Diceros bicornis minor: one gene and its partners. The protein of the gene in region 1 purifies or fractionates together with the protein of each later gene. This does not show direct contact. Links are inferred from orthologs where the notes say so. Each region holds a gene or a part of one and is shown in the gene's direction. Other genes may lie near its edges.

The links. The genes of interacting proteins can lie anywhere in the genome.
Region 2: the proteins of UBQLN2 (region 1) and RAD23A purify together in Homo sapiens (affinity purification with mass spectrometry; 3 studies listed by BioGRID and IntAct, with this or other methods). This does not show direct contact. The link is inferred for Diceros bicornis minor from reciprocal best matches to the Homo sapiens genes UBQLN2 and RAD23A.
Region 3: the proteins of UBQLN2 (region 1) and HERPUD1 purify together in Homo sapiens (affinity purification with mass spectrometry; 3 studies listed by BioGRID, with this or other methods). This does not show direct contact. The link is inferred for Diceros bicornis minor from reciprocal best matches to the Homo sapiens genes UBQLN2 and HERPUD1.

What each region holds. Positions count from the first base shown.
Region 1 is NC_080781.1:48,326,435-48,336,975, forward strand, and holds UBQLN2 (ubiquilin-2), read left to right. Parts: upstream 1-5,862; 5' UTR 5,863-6,136; coding exon 6,137-8,017; 3' UTR 8,018-9,333; downstream 9,334-10,541. UniProt on the Homo sapiens protein: Plays an important role in the regulation of different protein degradation mechanisms and pathways including ubiquitin-proteasome system (UPS), autophagy and the endoplasmic reticulum-associated protein degradation (ERAD) pathway.
Region 2 is NC_080769.1:4,460,080-4,470,802, reverse strand, and holds the start of RAD23A (UV excision repair protein RAD23 homolog A), read left to right. Parts: upstream 1-6,400; 5' UTR 6,401-6,489; coding exon 6,490-6,561; intron 6,562-7,950; coding exon 7,951-8,112; intron 8,113-8,280; coding exon 8,281-8,462; intron 8,463-8,601; coding exon 8,602-8,657; intron 8,658-8,786; coding exon 8,787-8,914; intron 8,915-9,192; coding exon 9,193-9,271; intron 9,272-9,398; coding exon 9,399-9,532; intron 9,533-10,723. Other genes in the region: CALR (calreticulin), read left to right, coding at 981-1,071, 1,435-1,536, 1,695-1,898, 2,302-2,396, 2,487-2,696, 2,778-2,891, 2,978-3,121, 3,736-3,828 and 1 more. UniProt on the Homo sapiens protein: Multiubiquitin chain receptor involved in modulation of proteasomal degradation. Binds to 'Lys-48'-linked polyubiquitin chains in a length-dependent manner and with a lower affinity to 'Lys-63'-linked polyubiquitin chains.
Region 3 is NC_080771.1:10,448,251-10,458,115, forward strand, and holds the start of HERPUD1 (homocysteine-responsive endoplasmic reticulum-resident ubiquitin-like domain member 1 protein), read left to right. Parts: upstream 1-5,542; 5' UTR 5,543-5,638; coding exon 5,639-5,785; intron 5,786-8,699; coding exon 8,700-8,777; intron 8,778-8,865; coding exon 8,866-8,940; intron 8,941-9,865. UniProt on the Homo sapiens protein: Component of the endoplasmic reticulum quality control (ERQC) system also called ER-associated degradation (ERAD) involved in ubiquitin-dependent degradation of misfolded endoplasmic reticulum proteins.

The sequences.
Region 1 (10,541 bases):
GGAGAAATAATGACTCTCAGCCCCCTAAAGCAGAAGTATACTAAGACCTGATTGGCTGTATTAGAATCTTAAGAAAGAATGAGGGAATCTGAAGGGGCTGAAGAATTTGGTCAGCCACAAAAGCACAGGAAAGGAGGGTCACTGATGTAAACATTGGCAGTATCCAATGGATAAAGGTGTCTTAAGCCGTTAAACCTCTAGTATTTCTAATCCCATGAGCAAGACTATCTCTGTTGGGAGATGGATATACAGCACTAGCATGGATTTAATGCCAATAAACTTTTGGTTTATGATTTTATGAATCTCAGTTTACCTAACAACCATCTTACTACACCCCGTCACACATCTTTCAGATGATTTTGCCTGTGTCTTCTCTGATCAATGATGTGCTGGCCTACAATTTACACTCAAAGGGCAATCAAAGATCCCTCATTTTCTTGTTCTAATTTTTATTTGGCTTTCCATTTAGCTTTGTAAAGGGAAAATGTGCTTAATGCATAGACTTGAGTATTTCCAGTAGATGTGAAAGTGCTATTTCTCACTGAAAATTAATAAATTGATGTTCTGGTGTCTATCACAATCTCATCTGCTTTTTCACTTTCTTGAGTCAGTCTATAAGGGCCTTAACCATTCTGGACGCTGACAAGAGTGAGTCTTTGGACTTGCAAAGCAGATGACCAAAGCCAGCAAGGCAGCTGTTAAATCAGCGATCTTCAAACATTTTTGCTTATGTACTTCCATAACAGAATTTTGAGCCACTGCATACCCCATGACACATATTTAAGCTGACATCTCAAGTTTGTCATCATATATTTAAATAATTGCATAAATGTAATTTCTGAAGTATTATGAATATTGACATTTTGAAATAAACTGTATATCACTCTCTTAAATATATCCAACAGAATCTACATACTATAGCAATTTGAGATCCACCATCATTTGTTTTTAAAATACATTAACAGACTCTTCTTTAATAATTGGATAATTTATAATTTCTCTTTTTCCTTTGATGTATATTTCCATTTATTATCACCACAGAATTTTTCTCCTAATTTTATATTTTTTAATATTAAAAAGACTTTCATTGATCACCCTATTATACTTTCCTACAATAAAAATTATATAAACTAAAATTAATTTTAAGGGTTAAGAAATTTTTCTGTATTAACTTATCATTACAATTACTGTTAGTACACAATTGATCAAAATAATATAAATATATCACCAACTTTGATAAATATTAAATATAAAGAGGTAAAATTTAATTGGAAATTCATTTGAGGGCTTTCTGATTAGTTTATTTATCCAAACAAGAATATTACTCATTGCTAGCAAGTCTTTTCCTTCTATGTGTTTTTATAAATATGAGCACTAAAATATATAATAAGTAAACGAGCAGATAGGAATGGAAGGACTTTGTTATAGTAATTTCCTTTTATCTTTGAGTTCCTTGCAAATAATATGCCAAAAATCACATAATGATCCATCTTCAAAAATTATTTTAATGATCTATCATCTGAAAATTCAATTATGTCCTCCTTCAATTTTGTCCAAGGCAAAGAATTGGAAATCACAGACTTGCAAAATGATTTATTACCTAGTCATTAGACTCATTCAGTTTCTCAACATGGACACCAATATATATTTCAAATTGTTCCTTTTTTGACTCAAGGTTTTTACACCCAGAGGCAATGAAACGTAGAAAAATCTTGAATGTGTGACAGAAGTATGCCTTTATTTTGTAAAGTGGGAAAAGGTCAATTGCAAAAGGGGATGCCTTGACCTTAGGGATATTTTCTGGCAGATCAATTTTAAGAAAGAAGATATATGGATATCAGCTATCTAGAAATTGAGTCCCTTTAAACTATTTTTATCATCCTACTGTTTGAAAAGAATTTGTGTAGACAAACGCAAGTTTGAAGATTTGCCTTAGATAATACTGCTATCACTTCTGTATCTACTGTCACAACTGATTTTTACCATTAACAATGGATATTACCTTTGCAAAAATCTGAATTTTCCTAACTTTAGTATCTTTGTTTTACCCTCCACCATCTACAGACCACAAGACTTTTCCTGTAAACATTGCATTCTCCTTTGATTTGTACTTAGGTATTTTCAATGTCTGATGGTTTGGACTACAACATCACAATTCACCAACAGATGCCATCTGTAGATGCCAATCTGAGGATTTCAGGACATATAAAAGTAAAAACCAGTTGTCTTACTTATCTAATACAGAGATTTGCCAATGAAAGCAGTCACCTTGGAAAGAGATTTGTTTTACAATTCAAGTACAGTTTAACTCCTTTTATTTCTCTGTTGCCATTGGAGATTCCCAAGTATCTTCTTTCTTTTTTCTGATTTTCTCCACTGACACAGGAGTCTTGGGAATCCACCTGTAAATACATGTGGAGGAAGTGTCCCCTCCCACTGCTACCAGGTGTATTTCTGTTGGTATTCTGATTTGCATCTTGGAATCAGTCTTTACATACAACGTTTTCAATGGTGACACACCCTCATTTGACTATAATGTAGCTAACTTCAGCTTTTAACCATGTTGTAAATTAAATAGACTTCATAGAGCAGTCCTGGAATCTTAACCTCTGCTTTATGTAATTATTTGTATGTTTATATAATTGTTTCATCTCAGAGCATTTTTAATGCCTACAATATCCCCTTAACATTCTATCCTTAAGGAGATTAAGTCTTGATAGGGAGATGTTGGTCAAAGGGTACAAACTTCTAGTTAACAAGATGAATAAGTTCCGGGTATCTAATGTACAGCATGGTGATTATAGTTAATAATACTGTATTATATACTTGAAACTTGCTAAGAGAGTAGATCTTAAATGTTCTCACTACAAAAAAGAAAAGGTAATTATGTGAATGACGCAGTTATTAGTTAATGCCCCCATGGTAATCATTTTTCAGAATATGTGTGTCAAATCAATGAGTTGTACACCTTAAACTTACACAATGTTGTATGTCAATTATATCTCAATAAATCTGGGTGTGAGGGAGAAAACAACAATGGCCAAAATAACACTAAATCTCTAATATTGTCTACTGAGCCCAAACTTTGGTCTCCCCCATACGGAGACCCTCTTTGACAAAGTCTTTCAGTTTCTCAGAAATTACCCTTCTACGGAGGGACTCCAGGATGATTGCTATTTATTCTTAATTCTGCTCTCTAATAAAGAATGTAAAGTAGGAAAAAAAGAAATATGCTTTTGGGAGACTTCTAGAAGAGGGTGAGTGTGCTTTTGCCCCTGTGCTGTGTTCTTTGGTGAGGGTTGTAAGAGAATCACCAAACTAATAATGGGACATCTATTTGACTTGCTTCTTCAAATAACTTAGATTTATGTAACAAATTTTATTTTTTCTCTCTGTTGATTCACTAATTTTTGCTTTTATTATTTTGTAGGCTGCACCCGGCTTCCTTCTTTTCTGTTGTCTTCTTTATTTGAATGCCTAATTCATTTATTTTCACTTTTTGTTATTTGGTATTTAAGGTCTTTGAGTGTATAAATTTGACTCTGAGTTCATTCACATAGTATTTGGTAAATCAAGTATCATTAAACTGGAGCTTGATAAGAATGTAGATTCCTGAGCACCGCTTATTTTGGTAGGTTTGGAGTGGGCCCTAGAAATCTGTATTTATAACAAGATCCTCAAACCACATGTAGGGAAATCTCGTCATAATTTTTGATGTATATGTTCTCATTATCATTATTTTTCTAAATTCACTCTAATAAGAACTTTGATTTACACTTTGTCCCAAAACTATTTAATTCTGTTTTAATTTTCAAGTGGTTGAGTTTTTCGTTTACACTTTCATTATTAATATCTAGTTTTGTTCTATTAAGATCAAAGAAGATGATGTGATATTTTCTTAATTTTTTAAGAAAAATAAAAAATATACAACAGTATTATAACAAATACACATATCTCTACTACCTAGAATTAACTATTGCTATTTTGCTATACTTGCTGACGTTTTAAAGATGAAATACATTTTTACAGATTTAATCCAATTTCCTTTTAATCACTATCATATGTCCTATTCCATATTCTCTTACTCATGGGTGCAAGTTTAGCATGAATCGTTCTAGTATATTTCCAATAGCTTCACATACATATGAATGCATCTATAAACACCAGGGTGTTGTGCTAATTAATTAGATTTTTGGGATCTATACATAATATATTTAGATCTAGTTCATTCCTTTATCTTCTGTATTCTATTAATCATATTAATCATACTATATTAATCCATTCCTCTATTGATAGACATCACATACCAGTATTTTTTTTCTTATCTTGAGACTTATTAATGTACTTATGGCCTAAGGACTTGCAAATGCTGTTAAATGCTGGCTGGATACTAAGGAGAAAAAGTATTTTCTGTATGGTATAAACCAGAGTTAGAAATTTATACATAAATTTGAAATTATTTGTTCTATTATTCACATGCTACATCTTTATTTCTCCTACTTAATCTGTAACTAAATTAGGTAAATATGTTAATGTCTGCCACTACTATTGTGTGCCTGTCAATTTCTACCTAGAACCTCCCCCCAAAATACCTTGTGATCTTTTAAAAGTTATAAATGCAGTGCATACTTATAAAAGCCATCAGAAAATTTAAAATTTTATTAAAAATAAGAAAGGACTAGTTATTCATAATTTCAGCAATAAGTGATAACCACCATTAACATACTGGTGTATAGCATTCCAGATTTCTTTTTACACATGCACTCAAAGACAGTTTATATATACAAACTGTTTAAAAAATAGTTTCAAAATAAAAATATATTTGTTGTATTTTTTGGTATTGAAACATACAGGCTTGTATAATTTATAACTATACAGAAATATATAAAGCTGAAAGTGAAAGTATTCTGTGATTTCCCTATAACTACTGTTTATGTGATGTATACCTTTAAAGGAACTTGATATCATATAAATTAACCTCCCATTTTTAATCATACTGCATATTATCTTATTGTATGTTAACATCATATTTCACTAATTCTGTGTAAACAGAAATTGATTATCTTTTAAAATAATGTTTTTAATTGTTGCAGTGTATATACATTATATATATATTTTTGCATCCTTATCCAACTATTTTCATAGACGAGGTCTCTAAATGAGGCATTTCTAAACAAAAGTGGAAATATTTAAAATGTTGGTATATATCTTCAAATTGCCTTATAACAACTTGCACTTCAATTGGCATGAGAGTACATTTTTTCTGCTCTCTGTTGAAGATAATGTTTACCATTATTTTTCATCTTTGCCATATTCTTGCCAATATGATAAGGCAGAAGTAAAATCTCATTGTTTTAATTTGAATTTCTTTGATTACTAGTGAGCTTAATCATCCTTTTATATGCCCAGTGGCCATTTGCACTTCTTTTGTAACATGCACGCTCCTCCCAGTCTTCTCCCCGTCCTGCATCGGGAATGTTAATCTTTTCCTTTTTGCTTTGTCAGAATTCTTTATTTTTCATCTTTTACATAGGGTTGGTTCGATCCAGGCTTTCATCCTTTCACTGCCTTATGGACTGAAAATATATGTATATTCTCCCTTGGTCTTTTAATGTCCTTTACAGAAGCTGGCTCCCTTTCCTCTATCCCTCCCTCCTTCTCTCTCTTTTCTCTTTTCTTCTCTCTTTGCTTCTTCCTCTCTTCGTTTCTCTCTCTCTCTCTTTTTTCAGTACACAAGTTTTTAATTTTGACTGAGTCGAATCTATCATTCCGGGCCTGGCACCGCGTCAGCAGAGGGGGGCGGGGAGGTGAGCGCGAAACTGGGGGAGGGGAAGGGGCGGGGAGGAGCCGGCGGAGCGGCTGCAGGAGTTGCTGGGAGTGCGCGCGGTGGGATCACAAGCCGGCGGCGGAGGCCCAGAGACGCGAGCGAGGGGACCTCGGCCGGCGGCCTACACAGATCCCTCTCTCCACTGGAGGACCAGGGAACCGCAGTCTTCATCACAGAGGTACCGTGCTCCGCGCTCCCCGCCCGGCCCTGCCCAGCCTGCTGTGGCGGCGCCTGCTTCCTTCCTCCTTCCCTCGCTCTCTCTCTTGCCCGCCCGCGCCTTCCCTGTCTGCCTGCGTCACCGCGGCCGCCATGGCTGAGAACGGCGAGAGCAGCGGTCCCCCGCGCCCCTCCCGTGGCCCTGCTGCAGCCCAAGGCCCTGCTTCTGCTCCGGCCGAGCCCAAAATCATCAAAGTCACTGTGAAGACCCCCAAAGAGAAAGAGGAGTTCGCGGTGCCCGAGAATAGCTCAGTTCAACAGTTTAAGGAAGCGATTTCGAAACGCTTCAAATCCCAAACCGATCAGCTAGTGCTGATTTTTGCCGGAAAAATCTTAAAAGATCAAGATACCTTGATCCAGCACGGCATCCATGATGGACTGACTGTTCACCTTGTCATCAAAAGCCAGAACCGACCTCAGGCCCAGTCCACACAGCCTAGTAATGCCGCGGGAACTAATACTACCTCCGCGTCGACTCCCAGGAATAACTCTACACCTATTTCCACAAATAGCAACCCGTTTGGTTTGGGGAGCTTGGGAGGACTTGCAGGCCTTAGCAGCCTGGGCTTGAGCTCCACCAACTTCTCTGAGCTCCAGAACCAGATGCAGCAGCAGCTTCTGTCCAGCCCTGAGATGATGATACAAATCATGGAAAATCCCTTTGTTCAGAGCATGCTTTCGAATCCCGATCTAATGAGGCAGCTCATTATGGCCAATCCACAGATGCAACAATTGATTCAGAGAAACCCAGAAATCAGTCACCTGCTCAACAACCCAGATATAATGAGGCAGACCCTGGAAATCGCCAGGAATCCAGCCATGATGCAAGAGATGATGAGAAATCAGGACCTGGCTCTCAGCAATCTCGAAAGCATCCCAGGTGGCTACAATGCCTTACGGCGCATGTACACTGACATTCAAGAACCCATGCTGAATGCCGCACAAGAGCAGTTTGGGGGTAATCCGTTTGCCTCGGTGGGGAGCAGTTCTTCCTCTGGAGAAGGCACGCAGCCTTCTCGCACAGAAAATCGAGATCCACTACCCAATCCATGGGCGCCACCACCGGCTACCCAGAGTTCTGCAACCACCAGCACAACGATGAGCAGTGGCAGTGGCAGTGGGTCTGGCAGTAGCTCCACCGGTGCTACCGGGAACACCGTGGCTGCAGCCAATTATGTCGCCAGCATCTTCAGTACCCCAGGAATGCAGAGCTTGCTGCAACAGATAACTGAAAACCCCCAGCTGATCCAGAATATGCTGTCTGCGCCCTACATGAGAAGCATGATGCAGTCGCTGAGCCAGAATCCAGATTTGGCTGCACAGATGATGCTGAGTAGCCCAGTGTTCACTGCAAATCCTCAGCTGCAGGAGCAGATGCGTCCACAGCTCCCGGCTTTCCTGCAGCAGATGCAGAATCCAGACACACTCTCAGCTATGTCAAACCCAAGAGCAATGCAGGCTTTAATGCAGATCCAGCAGGGGCTACAAACTTTAGCCACTGAAGCGCCTGGCCTCATTCCAAGCTTCACTCCAGGTGTGGGGGTGGGGGTTCTGGGAACTGCTATAGGCCCTGTAGGCCCAGTCACACCCATAGGCCCCATAGGCCCCATAGTCCCGTTTACCCCCATAGGCCCTATTGGGCCCATAGGACCCACTGGCCCTGCAGGTCCCCCTGGCTCCACTGGCTCCAGCGGCCCCCCTGGGCCCACCATATCTAGTTCTGCACCCCGTGAGACCACAAGCCCAACATCAGAATCTGGACCCAACCAGCAGTTCATTCAGCAAATGGTGCAGGCTCTGGCTGGAGTAAATCCTCCACAGCTGCCGAATCCAGAAGTCAGATTTCAGCAACAACTGGAACAGCTCAACGCAATGGGGTTCTTAAACCGTGAAGCAAACTTGCAGGCTCTAATAGCAACAGGAGGCGACATCAATGCAGCCATTGAGAGGCTGCTGGGCTCCCAGCCATCTTAATCACATTTCTGTACCTTGAAAAAATGTATCTTATTTTTGATAATGGCTCTTAAATCTTTAAACACACAAAAAAATTGTGCTTTACTTTCATTTTGATTCTTTTACATCTGTCTAGTTATGAATCTAATATGCATTTTAAGATGGAATCCATCCCTCCCTCTCTCTCTCCCTCCCTCTTTGTTTCTTTCCCTCCCTCCTTCCTTCTTTGTTTCCTTCCTTCCTTCCCTCCCTCCCTCCTTCCCTCCCTCTTTGTTTCCTTCCTTCCTTCCCTCCTTCCTTTTTCATTCCTTCTCTGTTTTGATGGTGGGAATCAATGCTGTTTCACTCAAAGGTGTTGCATGCAAACACTTCTCTTTATTCTGCATTTATTGTGATTTTTGGAAACAGGTATCAACCTTCACAGTTGGGTGAACAAGTTTTGTCCTACAGATGTCCAGTTTCTTTGCATTTTAAACATTAGCCTATGATAGTAATTTAATGTAGAATGAAAATAATTAAAAGCAAAAGCAAATTATTTGAAGCTCTCTAATTTGTGGTACAATATTGCTTATCGTGACTTTGGCATGTATTTTTGCTAGCAAAATGCTGTAAGATTTATACCATTCTTTGATCTTTTTTGCTATTTGTACACAGTACAGTAAGCACAATTGGAACTGTACATCTAGAAATATTACAACAGAATCTCTGAGCAGAATATGTGTAACCAAATTCAGAAAAAATATAAGAAATATTTCTGGAGCTAGGTATGTCTCACAATTTTGTAGAATCTTACAGCATCTTTGATAAACTTCTCAGTGAAAATGTTGGCTAGGCAAGTTCAGTTAAAATATAGTAGAAATGTTTATCCTGATTATTTCTAAATATACATTTAATTGTACAGAAAACTTAAAGTGTGACATTGCGTCAACATTTGCAGATTGAATGTATATGACCTTAATCTTTGTGCAGCCCGAAGGATCAGTGTAGTAATGCCAGGAAAGTGCTTTTTACCTAAGACTTCTGCTGAGCTTCTCCCATAAAAAGACCCTAATACACATTTTGATTTGTAATTGGAAATGTAACTTTCACTGAAAGTGTTATGTGATGTTTGCATTACTTTTAACTGCTGCGTATAAAGGAAACTGTATGTTTTGACTCTATCAGTTATTTCTCTTGTGCACAGGGAAAAATGCATTAAAATGACAAAAAATAAAAAAATTAAAAATGGATAAATCTTTTCCTTTTTTCCTTCTGGCCGTAGGATCATGTTTAGAAGGATTGCCCCACCCCAAGTTTTATATAAATTTTATCCTATATCTCTCTTATTTTAATGGTTTTGTTAAAAAAAAAGGTTTTTTTGCCCTATCTGGAATTATTTTGATGTATGGATTTAGGTATTCTAACTTTTTTTTTTCCCAAAGGGTTAACCGGTTGTTAGCCGGTTTTTGTCTCATTGTCCACCACCCCCATTTGAAATGTCATACACATATACACTTTCTTCTGTGTTTGAATTCTCTTGAGTACCACTGAACATTGTAGCCCCAGTACACCAGCCTATAGTTATTGAGTTAGAAATATGATTTCATATCTGTTAGGGCAGATCCTCCTATTGATCATTTTTATTTTTGTTTTTCACAATTTTCTGATAATTCTGACATGTTTATTTTACCAGATGAACTTTACAGTTAATAGGTTTCCCCTGCAAAATAAATTGGGAATTTGGTTGGGATTGTCTTCAATTAATATGATGGTGAAAACTACGAATGCAATGCTTTCCAGAAACATGATATGTTGCCTCATTTTTGAAAAGGTTTTACATCCTTCAAGAGAGTTTTGTTTATTTAAGTCCTGTATAATTTGTGATAAATGTATTCCTAGGGAATACAGACATACAGGAAACAATACTGCGATTGGGAGCTCTTAATTCACTGTGTTACGTATGTGGTCACTTTTGCTATATAGGGGAAAAATGTGCTTTCATAGATTAATTTTAAATTGGCAATTTACTGAAATCATTAATTTCTGAGATATTCAGTTGATCCTTTGAGTTTTTCCTGGTAAGCAATAATATCAATGATAAGTTATAATATGTTCTCCTTCTTTTCAAAATTTATAACATAGTTTCTGACTGCATGGGTTAAACGCTTCCAGAACAGTGCTAAATAATAAAAGTGGCAGTGGTATTCTTGTCTTGTTTCTTATTTTAACCAGACTATGTTTGCTGCAGCAATTCTAAATTGCATTTTTGAAAAAACTTTCCTCTGGGAGCTGGTCAAATAAGTTTGCAGAATGTTGTGTACCATAGCCCCTCTTCGAGAGTCATTGTGCAGTAAATACTGACTAGTATTATTTTTTAAAGGAATATATTCTTTAGGTTAAAGAGTAAAAACTAACTTTGTCTAACGGCACTTCTCAAATTGAATAAAAAACCACTGTGTTTTCTTTTAAACAGACCTGATAACATTTGGCCTATCAGTGTTCCTCAGAACACCAGGTTAGGAAATGGTGATTTATTATTTCACTGCTATATGATGGTGGGTATTTG
Region 2 (10,723 bases), on another chromosome or scaffold:
TGGGGGTAAAGGAGAGGCTGCAACTACGGGAATAACCCTACCCCACCCTAAGTAAGCCACAGTCTATAGTCACGTCTTCGAGCCTTTTGGGCTTCCTTTCCTCTGGCCCAAGACATCCCTAAAAGCTTTGAAAGCATTTCTCCCGGGCATCAGCTGGCCACAGTCGCTCCTCCTGGCCTCTCAGGAGCTCCTAAGACTTCAGAGAGGCTAAGTGACTTGCCCCAGGTCACACAGCAGCAGTCTGACAGGGCATCAGGGGCCGCACGCACCACACGGAGGAGAGAACTCGGCCTGCAAGGCTGCGGCGCCACGGTGAAGTGAGGCCCCAGGGCCCCAGCCCCTGAGCTCTTGTGCCCTCTGCCCGTCCTGGGCGGGAGCAAACAGAGCGAGAGAAAGAAAAGAGAGAGAGAGAGAGTCGGAGGGGGAGTGCCCCAAATGCAGGGTAGAAAGAGGTTGGGAAAATCTTGCCCACCCCTCCCCGCAGAGGGCATGGGACGGGGCGGGGCGGGGACAAGGTCCCGGTCCTGCACGGCGACACCTGCGCTCGCGCGGTTTCTTTAAACGCCCAGAGCCGGAGCTAAGCTCCCGGGCGAGGGCGGGGTTGGGCCGAGGTCTGGTCACATGACCCATGGGGTCTGAGGGGCTCGAGGCTCCCCACCCCACCGGTGGGCGTCCCCCACAACGCGTGGTCGACCGTCATTGGCTAGTGGTGCGGCCAATAGAAATCGGCCATCTGGGAACCCAGCGTTCCGAGGCACAGCCTAACTTGCTGAGCCGAGAACGGCCGAATGGGAAGGCAGGGCCGGGGCCGCAGGCCAATGATAAGGCGTGGAGGGCGGGCCAAGAGGCCGGGCCAGGTTGCTTTGAGGGGCGGTCGGGTATAAAAGCGCGCGGCCGGTAGCAGCGTCCGCCCCTACTGCAGAGCTGCTGCCGGAGGAGCGACTTAAAGGGCCCGCGCGCCGCCGCCCCCTCGGCCCGCCATGCTGCTGCCCGCGCCGCTGCTGCTCGGCCTTCTGGGCCTGGTCGCCGCCGAACCCGCCATCTACTTCAAGGAGCAGTTTTTGGACGGAGGTAACGCCTAGGGCCGCCTCGAGGCCGCCGCAACGACGCGGCCGGCCCACCAGCCCAGAGCTGCGTTGTCGCCTGTAATTACTGCTCAGAGGGCCAACACGGGGCTCCGGGGAACTAGAGCCGCAGGCTGTTCTTCCTTCTGCGTCCCTGGGGAGCGTGGAGGGTGCAGCGGCCTCCCGCCGCGGGAGTTGGGGTTCGCCCGAGGATCTCTTAAGTCACTGGAGGTGTCAAACTCGAGGTTGGCGTGGGGGCACTGGGAGGGGAGAATCTCCTTTCCTGCCCCCCTGCAGTTTGTGGTTCCTGGGAAAGGTTTGGTGGGAGGGATCAGCACGGCCGCACTGACCGGGTCCTCTGATCCCCCAGACGGGTGGGCCGAGCGCTGGATCGAGTCCAAACACAAGTCGGATTTCGGTAAATTCGTCCTCAGTTCCGGCAAGTTCTACGGTGACCAGGAGAAAGATAAAGGTAAGAGCCTGCGAGTGGGTGCTCAGATCCAGCAGAACTTCCTGGAGGAAGTTCTAGGAGCAGGGTAGGTGGAGGAAGGGGGAGTCGCCTGTATCTGCAGTCCTTAGGGTCCCCGGGGTTTGGGGCCGAGCCGTGACCTCACTGCCGTCTTCTGCTAGGGCTGCAGACGAGCCAGGATGCCCGCTTTTACGCCCTGTCGGCTAGATTTGAACCCTTCAGCAATAAGGGCCAGACGCTGGTGGTGCAGTTCACTGTGAAACACGAGCAGAACATCGATTGTGGGGGCGGCTACGTGAAGCTGTTTCCGGATAGTTTGGACCAGACGGACATGCATGGAGACTCTGAATACAACATCATGTTTGGTGAGGGGCCCCGCCCCGGGGCTGACCTTTGATTAGTTAAAGGGAGAGTGAGACCCCGTGAGTTCCTCATAGCCCGTGAAAGGTGGTCTTGAGAGCTTAGCAAAGCTTAAAATAGGCTTTTCGTTGGAGGGGAAGCTGGGAGGATAGTCACAGGAGTGGTTTGTTGCATTGCTGTTGTCAGTGTAAGACTTAACTCGTGTGGTCTTGTGTAGGCATTTCCCAGTTTTACAAATAAGGATATCGAGTTCTGGAGTACTGATTTTTTTTTTTTTCCTTAAGGCTCCACCCACAGCCGGTTAGAGAGAGTCAGAGTCTGAATCTTGTCTTCTTTTTGTAAAGAGGGGTGGAGGGGCTCACAATGGTGGGCAGCCTCTAGCTTGAACTGAACCTGCTTGTCACCTAGGCCCGGACATCTGTGGCCCTGGCACTAAGAAGGTTCATGTCATCTTCAACTACAAGGGCAAGAACGTGCTCATCAACAAGGACATCCGTTGCAAGGTGTGCCTGGGGGTGGTGACAGAGGGCTGCCAGGGGGAGGCTCAGAGGCCAGCCTGGTGGGCGGGGCCACTCACCTCCCGCCCTCTCCAGGACGATGAATTCACACACCTGTACACACTGATCGTGCGGCCAGATAACACCTATGAGGTGAAGATTGACAACAGCCAGGTGGAGTCGGGCTCCTTGGAGGACGATTGGGACTTCCTGCCCCCCAAGAAAATAAAGGATCCCAATGCTGCGAAGCCCGAAGACTGGGACGAACGGGCTAAGATTGATGACCCCACAGATTCCAAGCCTGAGGTTGGTGCTTGGGCAGGGCCCCCCACCGTGGAGGGTGTGGAGGAGAGTGGGGCCAACTCTGACCTCCTCGTGTGCCCTCAGGACTGGGACAAGCCTGAGCACATTCCTGATCCCGATGCTAAGAAGCCAGAGGACTGGGACGAAGAGATGGACGGAGAATGGGAACCACCAGTGATCCAGAACCCAGAGTACAAGGTGAGTCTGGGGCTCGGAGCAGCCGGGAGCACACAGTGAGGAGTGCACTGTCCCGCTCACCGTCCGGTTCCCTTCTCCCTCTGCAGGGCGAGTGGAAGCCCCGGCAGATCGACAACCCAGATTACAAGGGCACGTGGATCCACCCAGAGATCGACAACCCCGAATACTCTCCAGATAGCAACATCTACGCCTATGAAAACTTTGCTGTACTGGGCCTGGATCTCTGGCAGGTGAGACATAGAGGGAAGAGGAGGACTCCTAGGGGACTTCAGGTGCTCCGAGTCACGCAGGAGAAAAGGGACAGGGGTAGCATTGAACCCTAGGCAAGTCTGACCCCAAGGTGGTGCTCTTTCTGAAGAATTTCTTGCTCTGTCTCTATGGAGTTGTCACAGCAGCCACTTACAGGTTCTGTTTACGTGCCAGGTACTTCTCCTAGTACCTTTATGCAGATCAACCCTGTTAACTGGTGCCAACAACCTAGAAGGTGATTAGATAACTCCATTAGAAAATTAGCTTCATGGGACTAAACTTTTGTTTCTTTTTTACTGATACACCTTTTGTGCCTAGAATGGCACATAGTAGGAACTGGAACAATGCTTGAACAAGGAGTGAGACCCCATCTTACAGAGGAAGAAACTGAGGTGCAAGGAAGTGACCAGCCCGAGGTCATACAGGCAGGAAATGGAGGAGCTGGGGTTCGAACCCAGGTTATGTGTGTTTTAACCGCACTTAGACTGCAGCGTTGTGTAGTGGTTATGGGGACGCGGGTAGGAGCCCTGTCCAAGGCCAGGACCATGGGGTGCCCCCTCTGACCACCCCTCCCTCTCTCCCCCTGTCCCCCCAGGTCAAGTCTGGCACCATCTTTGACAACTTTCTCATCACCAACGACGAGGCGTATGCAGAGGAGTTTGGCAACGAGACGTGGGGCGTCACGAAGGTGGGCCCAGGGTCCGGTCCTGGGCTGGGGGTGGGCAGGGCTGGCACGCGGGGGCCAGGCCCTGAGCGTGTGGTCTGCACGCAGGCGGCGGAAAAGCAGATGAAGGACAAGCAGGACGAGGAGCAGAGGCTAAAGGAGGAGGAGGAAGACAAGAAGCGTAAGGAGGAGGAGGAGGCGGACAAGGAAGATGAGGACGACAAGGAGGAGGACGAGGACGATGAGGACGACAAGGAGGAGGATGAGGAGGAAGACGCTGCCGCTGGCCAGGCCAAGGATGAGCTGTAGGGGCCGTGCCACCGCCTCCGGGGCTGGACTGAGGCCTGAGCGCTCCTGCCGCAGAGCCGGCCACGCCAAATAATGTCTCTATGAGACTGGAGAACTTTCATTTTTTTCCAGGCGGGTTCCAATTTGGGGTGGATTTTAGTTTTGTTGTTCCCGCTTTTTTTTTTTTTTTTTTTTTTTTTAACCTGGTGTTTTGTCTCGTGCTCCTTTATCTTCACCCCAGGGTTCTCATCTTTCTTGATTGACATCTTTGCCGCCTTCTGGTCCCTTCTTTCCCCAGATCCCTTAGTTCCTTTCCAATCTGGGGGCATGAGGGGTGTGGAGGAGAAGCCCCAGGCCCGAGATTCCATCTGCTCTCGGTCCTGGCTCCCAGAGCAGGGCAGGAGAAGAGGGTGGCGTCCCCAGTCGCCCAGCACTGAGCAAGAATGGGGCTCCTAGGCCCTGAGCTCTAGGGCGTGAGCTCTGACCTCCCCACCCCCTCCCTTTCTCCCCTGCTCCCAGGACTGGGCCACTTCTGGGTGGGGCAGCAGGTTCCAGCTCGGTTCACACTGAGAATGTAAGAACTACAAACAGAATTTCTATTAAATTAAGTTTTGTGTCTTCCTCCTGTGTCTCCTTCTGGGGGAGGTGACTCTTGAGTAAGACTCATTTTTCAGCCACTAAAGTTGGCTGAGTGTCCCATAAGGTTAGAGGGGCCCTTGTTTACCCCCACAACCCCAGACTAGTGGGAGAAGAGTAACTTTTAAATGCCATTACAGATATTCCACGTATTAACTCAGAGTCCTTGCACCAAAGTGATGAGTTTCGGTTCTAGTACCAATTCAGTTTGAGGAGACTGAGGTCCACAGTCTGGTAAGAGGTGGGGCACGGGTATGAACCCACACCTGAGCCACCATCTCATCCTGTCCCTGTTACTGAACCATACATATTTCTTACCTATCAAGGTAAGGCAAGACTGGGTAGAGCAATTGGACAATTTTAAAGATTTTCTTAATACCAGCCAGTGGTAAAAGCTATTAATTCCTTTATAATCAAGGAGGTCGGCTCAGAGACAGTATATAGCTTGTCCGTGGTCTTCAGTGGTGAAGTTTGGATTTGAACCTCTTGAAGGGAAAGGTGGCCCTGAGGGGGGGTGCAGAGATAGCAGAGTGGTGTCTGGGCCCCTGAGGCTGGCCTAAGGTCCACAAGGCTGCCACTGAAGGCCTGTGAGTGGTTGGAAGCTGATGTCCCTTGTTGCAGGAGAGAGGTAAGAAGCCGTCAGCTGAGCCTGGCCTATTCTGGTAGAAGCTTCTGTGCCAGGGCATGCAGTGAAGGGAGAGGCAGCAGGACCTGGTTACAGTGGGGCAGTGGGTGAGGTATCACGTGACTGCCTGGTGCCCAGCTTGAATGGAAACTCTGAGAAGAAGTTTGGAGGCAGGCAAGGGTCAGAGCAGGATAGGGCCCCTCCCCCCCAACCAGCTGTGAGATAAGCCCACTCTCACCTCCATCCAGTCCCCCAAGCCCCGTCTTCACCTTTGGCCAGCCAACACTTTAATTCCTTGTTCCTTGGATGGGCCTCCTTCAAGTTTCTGTCCTGTGGCCCAGCCCCAGCCCTCTGGGAAGCCTGCAGAGTTGTGCATCCAGGGCAAGTTGAGGGAATTCTGTATTCAATGTAGGGAGACCTTGAAAGTTAACATCTTTCTTAAATACTTTGGGGATCAGACTGGAGATAGTGGGGTGGGACAGCAGAGAACTGGGAGACCCAGGAACTAGAACTGCAGGTTCCTTCCCCAAATCCAGCTGTCCCTCAGGAATGAACGACGCCACCAAATGGCCCGATGTCCTTGCTTCCACGGCCAGACTTGTTCCTTAGAATTTCCACTTTTCAGTGCTTGACAGGGTTCCTGTCAGGGTGGCCAGACCAGAATAAAACTCATTTGGGAGCAGCAAAAAAACACGAACAAGGATTTTATGGAAGAAATACAAATATCTAGAGCAAGTACATGAAAAATTTTGTTCAACGTTATCCACAAATAACAAGCTAATAAGGGCGTGAAAGTGGGGACCCCGGAGCCATTTTGTGGCCGCATGACGTCACCGCTAACGGGCATGGCGTCACTCGCAAGAAGCCACCTGATGGGTGTGCGCGCTGAGCGAGAAGCCCCCTCCCCTCCCGCGGAGCGGTCTCTAATCTGCGCATGCCTGGCCCGAGGGCGCTCTCGTGCGCATGCCTAAGGAGGCCAAGGGGGCGCGCGCAGGTCACGTGCTCTGGTGGTCGGCGCGCGCACCGCTTGCCCCGGAAGCGGTAGGCGTGCGGCGCGGCTGGGCGCTAAGATGGCGGCGGCGTGAGTTGCATGTTGTGTGAGGATCCCGGGGCTGCCGCGTCGCTCGGGCCCCGCCATGGCCGTCACCATCACGCTCAAAACGCTGCAGCAGCAGACCTTCAAGATCCGCATGGAGCCTGACGAGACGGTGCGAGCCGGGCCGGAGCCTGGGGGGGGGAGCGACGGGTGCTGGGCGTGGGGTGGGGGCGGGGAGGCCGGGATCCCGACGGGAGGGGCGGGGAGGTCGGCGCGGGCCGGACCCTGCCCACCCTGCCTGACTTTCCGGGACCCCCCGATGGTGCCCAGCCTAGCCCAACCCCTGGCGACTCCACTTGGGCGGTGCTCAGGGGCTGGGCTCCGGGCGAGGCCCCACCCCCGGGCGCCCGCCAGGCTCCGGCTCCAGTGTCAGCGCCCTCACGGGGCGCGGGAGCCGCAGGCTCAGATTCCCGGCCCCGCCGCGCTCTCCAGGACCGGGTCTCCGAGCTCCCAGCTTTGCAGGCGTCTCCTCGGGACGCTGGTGGCCGAACCTGGGAGTAGTGACCAGGAGATGCCGAGTGGTGACGGCAACGACGACGATAATGACAATAAATCGTGTGCGTTTCAGTGGTCTGTGTTTGCTGGCCGTTTATTCTTTTCCAGTCGCAGAGTGCTGTAGTGTTATTATCTTACTAAATGTGCAAAACAGGCTTGTCATTTGGGCCTCTGACTCGCCCTAATTTGCAGATGCGGAAATCTAGGGGTTGAGGCACTGTGCCATAGTCGCGGACAGCAAGTTATGGCAGAGCTGGGATGCAAATTCGCTCCTGCTCGTGTGAGAGCCCCTGGTCTGAACGTTATGTTGCCTTTTTAGCTGGAAGAGACTTAGGACGTCACAAGTATGTCAAGTGTCTGACTATGTCCCTGGTGCTTTTTGCACAACTACGTCATGAGGGAGACGTTGAAGTCCGCTTTTGGTGGGAGAGGAAACACTCTTTTTTTTTTTTGTCCCGACCAACTGTTTGACTTGCAGCAAGTTACTTAACCTCTCTGTGCCTTGTTTTCTCAAATACTGTAAAATGAGGCTAATGATGTCCATGTCATACAGTTATTATGAGGCTCTAAAAGCGTGATGTGTATACGTTTATGAAAGCGCTATCACCTTACGATGCATTCAGTAAAAACACCGTTGTCAGTAGTGTGGAATGAGGAACCCTTCCATCTGCCCCTGTATTTTGATAGACTTTTCATCATACTTTTCGCCATCTGAGATATATATTTGTTTTTTTCATCTCCCCACATTAGTGTCACCTCCATGAGCGCAGGGACTTGCGTGAAGTTCTGTTCCCTGCTGTGCTTCTCAGTGCCTGAAACAGCCCCTGATCCATAACGAGTGCTCAGTAAATACCCTGCTGAGTGGTGAGATGAAGGAACAAACTCAAATCCAGCGTGCTTGACTACGAAGTGTAGCCTCTGCCGTCAGGGCCTGCAGCCTCTCCCCCCCAAGCTAGGAAGGGAGAGAGACTCTTGGGGTTTGCAATGACTGTCCCCGTCCCTGCAGGTGAAAGTGCTAAAGGAAAAGATAGAAGCTGAGAAGGGTCGTGATGCCTTCCCTGTGGCCGGACAGAAACTCATCTATGCTGGCAAGATCTTGAGCGATGATGTCCCCATTAGGGACTATCGCATCGATGAGAAGAATTTTGTGGTCGTCATGGTGACCAAGGTGGGTGCAGTGTGCTCGTTGGAAGGGTGGGTGGATTAGCTGGGGAGCTGGCAGAGAGCTGTGTGTGCCCAGGAGAGATTAGCCGTGAACAGGCGGGGCTGAGACGGGGCGGGGTGTGGGCGCTAGATAGGGATACTGATGTCTGCTCTCTTTTTCTGGGTGTCACAGGCCAAAACTAGCCCAAGCACTTCAGTACCCCCAGAGGCCTCACCCACTGCTGCCCCAGAGTCCTCCACAACCTTCCCTCCGGCCCCTGCCTCAGGCATGTCCCAACCCCCACCCACCGACAGAGAGGACAAGAGCCCATCGGAGGAATCAGTCCCCACGACGTCCCCGGAGTCCGTGTCAGGGTAAGGCAAGGAGCGGCAGTCCCAGCTTGGGCCCTGTTCTCCCAGCATGTTCCAGCGCCCACTTACGTGATCCCACACACCTGGGGGGAGGGCAAGCAGCCAGAAGCCAGGGTCCGATTTCTCTTTCTTGAATTTGCAGCTCTGTTCCCTCTTCAGGTAGCAGCGGGCGAGAGGAAGACGCGGCCTCCACGCTAGGTGGGTGGGTGGTCCCCAGGGCAGAGTGACTGGGCGCCCGAGCCATCAGCTGGGCCCTGTATGGGTGTGGGAGGGCCTGGGAGCTGTCCTCTCTCCTTGGTGACCCAGGCCTCGCCGCTCCCTCCACAGTGACGGGCTCAGAGTATGAGACGATGCTGACGGAGATCATGTCCATGGGCTATGAGCGGGAGCGTGTCGTGGCCGCCCTGAGAGCCAGCTACAACAACCCCCACCGGGCCGTGGAGTATCTGCTCACGGTGAGGGGGGCTGCTGCTTCCTGGGGAGGCCTCGAGGGAGGACGTGGGCTTCAATGCTCTGGGGGGTGGTCAGGGAGGCAAAACCTGCCCCCAAAAGTATTTGGGTCGTGGTTCCAGCCAGGAAGGCTTCCTGCGGGAGGCTGCACATGAGCAGCGGGTGGGGGAGGGAGGGAAGTGGAGGGAGGGCCCAGGCCTCACCTGTCTCCTGCCAGGGCTGAGCACGCAGGAGGGAGATGGTGGGCGGTCTGTGTGTTGGAACTAAACGGGACCCCTGACAGGGAATTCCTGGGAGCCCTGAGCCAGAACCCGGTTCTGTCCAGGAGAGCCAGGTGTCTGAGCCGCCGACCACAGAAACAGGTGAGTGGACTGGGAGCCGTTCGTGGGGGGCTGTCTGCTGTCGAGACATCTGATTCCCCCCCACCCCCCACCCCCGTGCTTCTGGGAGTCCAGTGTGGTATCTGACCACACACCTTGTTCCTGCCAGCGGGAGAGAACCCCCTGGAGTTCCTGCGAGACCAGCCGCAATTCCAGAACATGCGGCAGGTGATTCAGCAGAACCCGGCACTGCTGCCGGCCCTGCTCCAGCAGCTGGGCCAGGAGAACCCTCAGCTTTTGCAGGTACGGCTCTGGGGGCGGAGCCCGTGCAGGCACAGCCCCTCCCCTGTGGGTGCCGCAGCCCCAGAGAGCAAGCCTGGCCTGGCCTGGCCTGGCATGTCGGAGTCTGTCTGTATTTGGAAAGTGAGACTTAGCCCCCCGCTGCTTCCTGCGACCTAATGCCCTGGGCCTACCCAGCTTCGTGTAGTCCTCCCCACCACCCGGTGAGGTGCAGGTGTGTCGCCCCCCACAGAGGAAGACGCCAGAGGTCTGGAGCAGCTGGGCAGCTGGTGGAGTGTGTGTCTCGTCCAGCCGCTGCATCCTCTGCTTTTCCTTCTGGGTCTTGTGGCTCTGGCTGTGGCTTGGCTCTGCATACAGGTGGTGCTTCATGAATGTCTAGAGTGTTGCCTGGCAGCCCCCAGGACCGCTGTGCCCCTGTTGGCTCTGGCACCACTCTGCTCAGCAAGGCTCCACCCTGTCCTTGAAGGATCCTAGGCAGAGGGGCAGTATCCCCAGGTGTGACGGTCCTCTGGGTCCTCTGTGAAGGCCTGCCTTTCCTGGTCTGGGAGCCGTTGTCCACTGCTTTTCCCCTACCTCTCGGGCTCTTGTGGTGGCTCCTCCTGCTCACCCCTCCAGATGTTAGAGGGCCTAAGCTGCAAACCTTTCTGTTCATTATCTGCACTTGGTCCTTCCCGCATCTTGTCTTGGGGCTTTCAGTCTGGTGACCCCAAATCTGTGTCACCAGCCCAGACCTGTGGGTGCCGCGCTCATCCATGGCTGACTTGCTTGATGCCTTTGTTATAGTGCTCTCTAGATGTCTAAGACTTCAGAACAGGTCCTCCTCCCAGCCTTCCCCATCCCCACAGGGACCAGCCTGGGGTTGCTCAAGCCCCAGGCCCTGGGGGCCTGCTGGGCCGTCCATCGCCTTTCCTGTCTGCTCTGCTTCCAGAACATCTCACTCAGCCCAGCCCTGCGCTCCCCCTCCGTGGCTGCCGCCTCATCTCCCTCTGGGTTCCCTGGCAGCCGCCGCCCAGGCCTCTGCTTCTGCACAGCCCCAGGGTCCATTCTGCACCAGGAGCCAGATTTCTGAAAAAGCTCTTTTTTCCTCGATGTGAACATTGTCAGATATACCTTAAACTAGAGAGAGTTGTATCAGAACCCCCAGATACACGACACTCAGATGAGTTAATCTTTTTGAAAAGTACACAGATCGAG
Region 3 (9,865 bases), on another chromosome or scaffold:
GCTTTTCTTCCGTTCCCCCGTCTCAGAGTTTAAATGTGAATGAGGTCACAAAGAGACATAGCACCACAGAGGTGCTGCTACCATCAGGTCTAAAAATTTCCCTAGTTCTTTCCACATTTCCAGAAATCTCACTTAAGAATATGGATTTCCCTTCAGCTCACTATATTTCTTTCCCTGATCTGCTTGAATGTCTATCTTTGTGAGACACAAAAAAATATGTACTATATGATTTCATTCATAAGAACTCCTAGAACAGGCACAACCAAATTGGAGTGACAGAAAGCAGATCAGAAACGCCTGGGACCAGGAGTGGTGGGAGCATGCGGGTTGACTGGGAAGGGGCACCAGGAAGCCTTTTGGGGTGATGGGAATGTTCTTCATCTTATTAGGGGTGTGCGTTACACAGGCGAAGCTACCTGCCAAAACTCTTTGAACTGTACACTTGAGATCCATGTATGTTACTGTATGTAAATTAAACCTCAGTACCAGTTAATTAAAAAATAATGATTTCAAAGAGTTACTAGCTCTTTGACTGGTGCAAGTTACTTAACGCTCTGTGCCTTAGTTTCCCCAGCTGTAAGATGGAAATAATAATAGCATTCTACTTCATAAGGTTGCTGTGAGGATTAAATGAATAAAGTCATGAAGGTTCTTAAAGCTGTGTGGCTGGCCTGTGGAAAGCACCCCACAGTGTTAGCCATTATCTCTATTCATGAACAATCTTTGTTACGAAACTCCTTTCCCTCCTGCTGTCTTTCTGCAGTGTGTTTTTTTTTTTCCTTTTTTTTTCACTTTTCTTTTTTTGGCCCATCCTAGTGCTAATCCACATTTCCCCTTGAATGAACCAGTCGGGCCTCCTGGCTCCAAGTTTCTCCCCATCAAACCTGCCTCCACAACGATGTGGATCCATACTGACGCGGATCATGTCTCTTCTACTGCTCAAAATCCTCCACTGCTCACAAACTCCCAAGGGTAACCACTCCAAGTCCTTCCTCAGGTGGTCCCCAAAATTCTTTCCCATCTTACCTCTTGCTCACTTATCATTATTATTTAAAAATAAACCCTGTACTTACTGTCACATTTTGCCAGTGGTTCCCAGACCGGACCCTTGAACTAGTCCCCACTTCGATGCATCAGGCCATTTAGTAGGCCTGAAACGGGACCCAGACACCCATCCTATTTTTTTTTACATATTTAGTTGAGGTATAATCTATACGCAGTGAAATGCACAAATCTTAAGTGTACTGCTTGATCCATTTTGACAATGCCTATGCCTGTGTAACCTACATCCTACCAAGACAGAGAACACTTCACCACCCCAGAAATTTCCTTCATGCCCAGTGGTGTGTTGGTAAAAATTTAACTACTGACTTCCTGGAGGAAAAAAGCTCTGCTTTATAGCATTTGCTGATCTCTGTGGTGTAATTGTTCCCACCATGGCCAGTTTCAAGCTATCAATGTGATGTCACTGATAGCAGAGTTGGGAAGAGAAACTCACAACCAGTTCTGTGAACCAGTACCAGCTGACTTCCGCACACCGTTGCCATGCCTCTTTCAAGTCAGGCGCCCTTCATCCACAGGCATAGATTTGTTTTGTGTACTCTAGAGTTTCATATGAATGGAATCATATAATATGTACTTCTTTTGTCTGATTTTTTTTCACTCAGCATGTGTCTGAGGTGCATTCATGTTGCTGTGCGTATCGGTAGTTCATTCCTTTTTATTACTGAGTAGTATTCCATTGTGCAGATACACTATCGTTTGTTTATCTAGTCTTCTTGTGATGGACACCTGGACTGTTCCCAGTGTTTGCCGCTATCATGAGTAAAGCTGCCATGAACATTCTTGTGCAAGTCTTTCATGTCTTTTGGGTAAATCTCTAAGAGTACAATGGCTGGCTTGTAGGATAGATGTGTGTTTAACTTTATGAGAAAATGCCAGACTGATTTTCACAGGGGCTGTACCATTTTACACTCCTACCAGCCACATATGAGAGTTCCAATTGCTCCATGTCTTCACCAATACTTGGTGTCATAGGAACCTTCACTTTAAAAAATAAAAGAGTTCCTTGGGTGATTCTGTTTCACAGGCGGGTTAGGAAACCACTGGAGGGGATTCATTGCAGTTCCTTAAATATTAATGGCTAAAATTTATTTAGCACTTATTAAGTATCCGGGCCTGTCCCAAGACCATTAGCAATGTTATGTTATTTAAGCCTCACAACCACCCTATCAAATAGCTACTATTACTATTATTCCTTTTTTACAGATGAGGAAAATCAGAGACAGAGAGGTTAAGTCACTTGCCTCAGGTCACACAGGTCATAAGCTGCAAAAGCTGGGTTTGGAAACACAGTCTTGCTCTGGGCCCATGAGTTCAACCACATAGCTATGCTTGCCCATGCAAATTCTGCGTACAGATGCCCTATTGGGCTTAATACATAATTACTGCCATTACTCTTTTTACTCAAATCCCACCCACCCTTCAAAGTTCAGCTCAAATTCACCTCTTCCATCAACTTTTCTCTGTCTCTCCCCCACTTCTCCTCCTGCCTCTATGTAAACCCTCAGTGTAATCAGAAGTCCTTCAGAAATGTGTGAGACTGTTGGGTTGTCTTTTATTTCTGTATTTTTGTGCTGTCTTATCACCCCCGTTATATTTGTAAGGTCACTGAAAGCAGGGTCACTCCGTGTTTATCTTTCTATTTCTGGCATGTTGTTGACTTGCATTTAATTTTTCTAAATGTGCTGTAAGCAGAATCACCAAAGTCGTTTAAAAGGAGCTATCTGACACAATGGGGTACCATACAGCAACAAGAATGAACGACCTTCAACGACATGCAACAATATGGATGGATCTCACAAACATAATGTTGAGCAAAAGAAGCCAGACAATAAACACATAGTATAACTCATTTATATAAAGTTAAATATAGGGATATTGGTTACCCTTGGAGGGTAGCATCTGGAAAAGGCACAAGAGTGGCTTCTGGGATGTTGGTAATGTTCTGGTTTTTTTGTTTTTTGTTTTTTAATTACTTTATTGAGAACATATTGGCTTATAACATTGTGTAAATTTCAAGAGTACATCATTAAATTTCAGTTTCTGTGTAGATCACCACCAATAGTCTAGTTTTCACCCATCACCATACGTATGTGCCCCTTTACCCCTTTTGCCCCCACCCCCTGGTAATGTTCTGTTTCTTGATCTGGGTGCTGGTTCCATGGATGTATTCAGTTAAAAGTCATTGAACTGTACCCTTATGATATATGTATTTATCTGTATGCATGTTACCTCAATAGAGATTTAAAAATGTATGTGAAGGTTGAATTCCACTCTGAAATATATGCATATCTGTTTTTTTTTTTTTTTAAAAAGAGCTATTTCATTGGGAAATAACTCAAGAGGGAATCACAGAAATGGGATTGCCTTTTCCCTAGGGAAAAAAAACCACACCCCTATACTTTCTTCCTACTGAGTGGAAATGGATGTGCTGTCTTAAAGGGCGCTAATGCTTGTCACTGCAGGCTGGAGAAAACTATGCTATGTGGCGTACTTAATTCCCCAGTGAAGGTGTTATCTCCTGCCTGGCTGCCTCCCTAAGGCCTCTGCTGCTTTTATCTGGCCTGGCTCCACTGATCAGCTTCTAGCTAGTAGCAAGGCTACCAGATCATAATCAGTCATTTTCTTCCATCCTGGTGTATGAAAAGCAGGACCAGCTACACAATTTGTGGGACCCAGTTCAAAATGAAAATGCAAGGATTCTTGTTCAAAATTTACTAAGAATTTTCAGACGGTAACAGCAGAGCATTAAACCAAGAGTGGGACCCCCTGTGACTGCCCAGGTCCCACACCCATGAAGCCACCCTGATGAAAAGCGACAGAGCCTTCCTCAGCAGACAAAAACCAACCACAGAAAGCTGAGCACAGAGACAATTTATCTGCAAAGCCTTCTACCTCCTTTCTTAGTATAAAGCCAGCTGAAAAGGAAACCACCCCATGTTCTATGTTACGTTAAGGCCGACGGTTATGGATTGAAATGTGTCCTCCAAAAAGATGTTGCTGAAGTCCTAACCTCCCAGCGTCTATGAACGTGACCATTATTTGGAAGTGGGGTCTTTGCAGATGATGAAACTAAGATGAGGTCATTAGAGTGGATCCTAATCCAAAATGACTGGTGTCCTTATAAAAAGGGGGGAAATTGGGACACGGAGACAGACATGCATAGAGGGAAAACGATGTGAAGGCACTAACACCGGGAGAACGCCACGTGACCATGAAGGCAAGGATGGTGTGATACAGCTACACACCAAGGAATGCCGAAGATTGCCAGCAAACCACCAGAAGCTGGGAGAGAGGCATGGAACAGATTCGCCTTTACAGCCCTCAGAAGGAACCAACCCCGCCCAACACTTTGATCTCAGACTTCCAGTGTCTAGAACTGGGAGACAAATTTCTGTCTTTTAAGTCACCCAGTTTGTGGCACTCTGTTACGGCAGCCCTAGCACACTAATACACCCACCAACCAGACCACGCTCCTGCTGTTACCCTCCTGCCCTGGCCAAGCTGCCGACACACCTGGAGAAGCAGATGTCCCAACGGGACTGGAACAAGGATGGGGCCGGCGCAACGCAGTTTTGTTTTTCAAGAGTTTCTTCCTAGAGAGGAGAGGAAGGGAGTGTCAACATCAGAGAGGCCTTTGTGGTCACATTTTAGAACACGGAGAACCCTGCTCTCCCAGTCTCAGCCCCAATGTAAAGGATCCCTGTCAGTGTCCCACAGTGAGGCTCTTTTCAAGTGTCTCCCAGAGTAGGCCGGACTGTGGCGTGCTCGCCATTCACAAGGGTGATGTCTCACACTTGAGGATGTGACGTTCAAGTCCGAGGCCGTAAATGTTGGCAACAGTGGTTCGGATGCCTCCGTCCTCAGCCCCGGAAGAAGCCTCCCTGCTTCTTCTTGGCCCTTCCAAGGCGCACCGTGGACGCCCTTCCAGGTGGACTTGCAAATGAGGTCTGCCCAACCATTCTGTGAGCCGAAGCTGGGGTAGCGTGGGGAGGCCTCCCCTGTAGGGCAGGCTGTGGGCCCTGCCGTCCGGGCCACCGGGGGAGGGAAAGGGGAAGTGGGCCTCGGTGCCTGGGATCAAAAGGGGCGGGGGTGCTGCTTTGTGAGGAAACAATTTTCAGAGGCTGCCAAACAGGCAGTGGGCCAAGCTGGCCTTCCCTAAGGCGCCTTGAGCAAGCCGAGGTCGGAAGCGATCCCCTTCCTCCGGCGCGGGCCGCAGAACACCCCAACATGGCTACCGAACCCGGGCTCCCGGGCACCAGCCGCGACCCCGGGTGACGCACCGGCGGCGGGTTGCATCAGCCCGCGCCCACGTGCTCGCCCCGCCCCTCCGCCCACGGATCCGGGCGCCGATTGGGCCACGTTGGGGAAGTGGCCTGAGCCTCAGCCAATGGGCGGCAGCCACAGAGCGTTCGCTCCTCAGGGGGCGGGCGCGGGGTGCCTATAAAGGGCTCCCGAGGCGGGGGTGCGCGCCCAAGAGACGTGAACTGTCGTTGTGGGGGTTTTGGCGCCTGGGACGCCGCCTGCCTGCCTGCCTGGCATCTGGGAGCGCAGCCGAGCGCACAGCGCAGCAGACATGGAGCTGGAGCCCGAGCCCGAGCCAGTCACGCTCCTGGTCAAGAGCCCCAACCAGCGCCACCGCGACTTGGAGCTGAGCGGCGACCGCAGCTGGAGCGTGGGCCGCCTCAAGGCTCATCTGAGCCGCGTCTACCCCGAGCGCCCGGTGAGAGGGACCCCCCGAGCCCCGCTGTCATCCCTCCAGCCCTCCTCGCGTTCCCCTAGGGATGCAGCGTCCGCCTCCCAGACCCTATAGCCTCTGCCTTCGCCGGCCTTCCCCCGACCGCTGGTACTTCCCAGGTCACCTCCCCCAGGGCTGTGGTCATCGCCTTCCTGCCTTACAGCCCTAGGCGCCTCCTCTCTTGGCCCAGGGGCTGTCACTTCCTCATCCTAGGCTGCCATCGCCGCGCCTTCCTGATGGGCTGCCTTCCCCTGTCACCTCGCCTCCCGTGTCGCCAAACCCCTAGGGCTGTCACACCCCTGCCCACCTCCCCCAAACCCCTGCCTGTCCCCTCGATCTGGCTCCCAGCCTTAGCCCAGCCGCTGAAACAGCAGTTTGCCCTTGGGTGAGTCATTTCACCTTCCAAGCCTCAGTTTCCCCAAAACGACAGGGCGACTGGGTGTTCCTCATTAGGATCGCATCCCGTGGGCAGAGCTAAGAAAACATGCATGCTGTGAAATGAGTTTTCCGAATGTAGCGTCTCAGTGCGGAGAGGGGAGGGCAGGTGCCAGCCCCGGGCCAGTGGCTAGAGAAACATGATGAACGCCCAGGCAGTGTGTACTTAAGGTCCCACACCCAGGAGCGAGACGTGGCTCTTCCCCTCCGTGTCCACCTTCCGCCCTGGGCCCCTCCCCGTCGCGCTGGACTCCGCAGCCTTTGCTTAGTCCCAGGGAAGAGTCTGGTGCACTTTCTGGTGAAGACGGATTTAGAAGGGAAACCGGCGGAAGGAGTCTTCTTGAGTCTGGCTTGAAGACTTGGCTCCCTCAATTGCGGAGACTCCTGGCTTTGTTTTGGTTGACACATCTGTCAACATCTCCCTTAGCACCGCCCTCTCCCCACCACGTGATGGAGGCCTGAGCTGGACCTTCCTGTATTTACTTTCTACTCTAATATTATGTAAGTGTCAGCAGTGTTCTTTACTGCCCGCAAGTGTGGGTCTCTCTCCATCAAACAGGAGAGGGCATCAGGGCAGGAAAAGATTGTGAAACTGTCCCTTCTTATCTGAAGAGTTGCTATTTGTGGTAGCTCATGGGTCAGGGTTTTTTTCCCATACTGTCAAGAGTGTAGAAGCCAGTTTTCCTTCTGAGTTGTTCTTTGGAAATTTGCTTATTTATTTAATAAGCTTCCATTCCTTGAGCATTCTCCTGGGCGTTATTTGCAGTTTCACCATAGCAGCTTCCAAGAAACCAGGTGGCCGTGTTGCGGTGAGAATGGCTGTTAGGTACACAAGTTGGCGGGTGTAGTCTGGTTGCATCATTTGGTAAAAGGCAGTGTTTTGGAGGAGAGCTTTCCTTAAGGGCTTCCTTGGGTGAGAAGCATCACTCCTATTAGGTCTGAAGACTCACAGTTGTAATAAAAGGTCTGTCAGGTAAATTTGTGTGAAAGTTAGGACTGGAGCGCACTCATCATTTGTTTTCTGATGTGACAAGCCTTACTTTATAATAGTAGTTTGCTTAACATGCTTAATTTTTTTCAAATCAGCCCCGTGGGTAAAGACACAGTGTCAATTCAGGCCTTTAACAGGGAAAACAGTTGAAATCACAGGCAGCTGTGGTTTTCCAACCTTTCCTGGTATGGAATCTTGAATGTCATGCAGGACCCCAGCTCTGCAATAGCAATGCACAAATTCATGTGTAGACCCTTTACCTATAAAGTCAGTGAGAACAATGCTGAACACAGCACCTAATATGTTTCTGTAGTTTGTTGTAGTTGCACAGTGTCAAAAAATCCTGGTTTATGCAGATAAATAGACACAGTTATTGTTTTGTTTCTTTTAAATAGCTTTCTTTATAAACTTAAGCTATTTGGAAGGAGCAGCTTTATTCTAAATTTTGCAGAATTGGTTATTCTGGCAAGAGTGGGTTGACAACTTGGTGGTGATCTCTTGTGCACTGACTTTGAGGCCATTATTTTTAAGTACAGTTTTTAAGGAATTAAAAATAGATTTTAGGGGGCTGGCCTGGTGGTGTAGTGGTTAAGTTCACACACTCCTCTTCTGTGGCCCGGGGTTCGCAGGTTCAGATCCTGGGCTCAGACCAACACACCACTTGTCAAGCCATGCTGTGGTGGCATTCCGTATAAAGTAGAGGAAGATGGGCACAGATGTTAGCCCAGGGCCAATCTTCCTCCGCAAAAAGATTAGCTCAGGGCTAATCTTCCTCACGCACACAAAATAAATAAATAAATGGATTTGAAAAGTGAGATTTGTATAAAGGCGTGTGGTGCCCCTGTGGTGTTAAATCACCGGAGGGAGAAGAGGGCTTGGAATCTTGACTCTTAGCAGCAGGTGACCTTGCACAAGTCAGTTTCAGACTTTCCCCCCTTAAAATAAGGACACGAAATCTCCCAGGGTTGTTGTGTGAAATGTCACCCACACGCCATTTCCTCTCTAACTGCATTTCTTTGTCAGGAAAAGTCTCTTTGAGGCCTTAAGTTTAGAATTGCTTCGTGTTGTCTTGGGACAGTGCGGGGTGGTTTTGGTGAAAGCTGACCTTGGGAGGACTTTGAGTTTTCTCTGAGACCATACAAGGTTTTGAAGTTAGTCACTATAAGAGCCCCAAATAAAATCTGTGTTTTTAGTGGCAGAAAGCAATTTCCCTGAGCGTTAAGAAGTCAAGGTTGCCATAGGTTCTGTGGACTGGAGATGATTTGCATCCTAAATTTATTTGCGTGTTAGAGATCAGTTTAAAGTTAAGCACTTTCTAAATAAAAGTGTTGTCTGTGGGGCCTTTGAAAAAATGTTTTCCTGTGATGCTGGAAAAAACCACACATATTCAAATTATTTGTCTAAAGCAATTTCCTCTGTTTGGGAACCTGTGGGGGCTGAATGCTTACCTCTGCCCCTCTTTCTTTCCATCAGTGCCCAGAGGACCAGAGGTTAATTCACTCTGGGAAGCTGCTGTTGGATCACCAGTGTCTCGGGGACTTGCTTCCCAAGGTACATCACTTACATATTAACTTTTGAGTGTTTTGAAGCACTTACCAAGTTTAATTCAGGTCCTACAGTCCCTCCTTATCACTTTTAGCAGGAAAAACGGCATGTTTTGCATCTGGTGTGCAGTGTGAAGAGTCCTTCAAAGACGCCAGAAACCAGCACAAAGGTCTGTCTGCTTTTTCATGATTGTAACAATCTGTGTCATTGAGAGCCTCAAGGTAGAAATAAAGGAAGTTGGATACAACTCTTAAGATTTTATAGCCTTTTTATCATGTAGTATTTTGTTTCTTCCCCCGTGAGAATCAGGCATTAGAAACTGTTATCGATGCAATGGGGATTTACTATAATAGTAGGAGACTTGCAATAGTGGAGTGGGAAAACAGAGTTCTCTGGGACACTACTTCTGGGATATGATTTGACCTGCCGTAGCTGTGTGTCCAGATCCCTGAACTAGCCTGGCACTCTTGAATTTGGCACGTAATAAGTTTCTTCTAAGGAACCATTAATTTTTATAAAGAGTAAAAAAGTGAATGTATTTCCTTTGGAAATTTTCATTGTGATTATTTATTTAGTTGGTTAGGAAAAGGCCACAGTCTTTATCAGGTAATCTCTAAAGACTTATTTATGTTTGACAGTCAAAATCATTTATTTTTCACTTTACAGCATTGATTCGATTGTGCACTGTTAATTCTCATGTGATGATGCTCTGTAAATTTGCATTACAACTATTTCCTGAAACATCTAAGCATAGCATAGGAAATTCTTTCCTTTAGGTTGCTGGCCGGGTTGTATGTATAAGTCTTGTAGGTCAAATTTAATTTCTTGATTCAGTAAATTTGATACCATAAGATGTATAGAACATTATCAGGAAGCTTTCTCACTAGTGATAACTACATTGGAAGACTTTAGTGAAATTATAGCATAGTTACTCTAGGAAAAAATATGAATTTTTTTTGGTGTCTATATATTGAAATTGTGTTGAACAAATTTCAGAATATTTTTTACGTAACATTGCATCATTTAATTTTGTCAAGTTCAGAGGTTGGGGTGGGCAACATAAGCCATTCACAGCAAAATAACGTTTTAGCTTG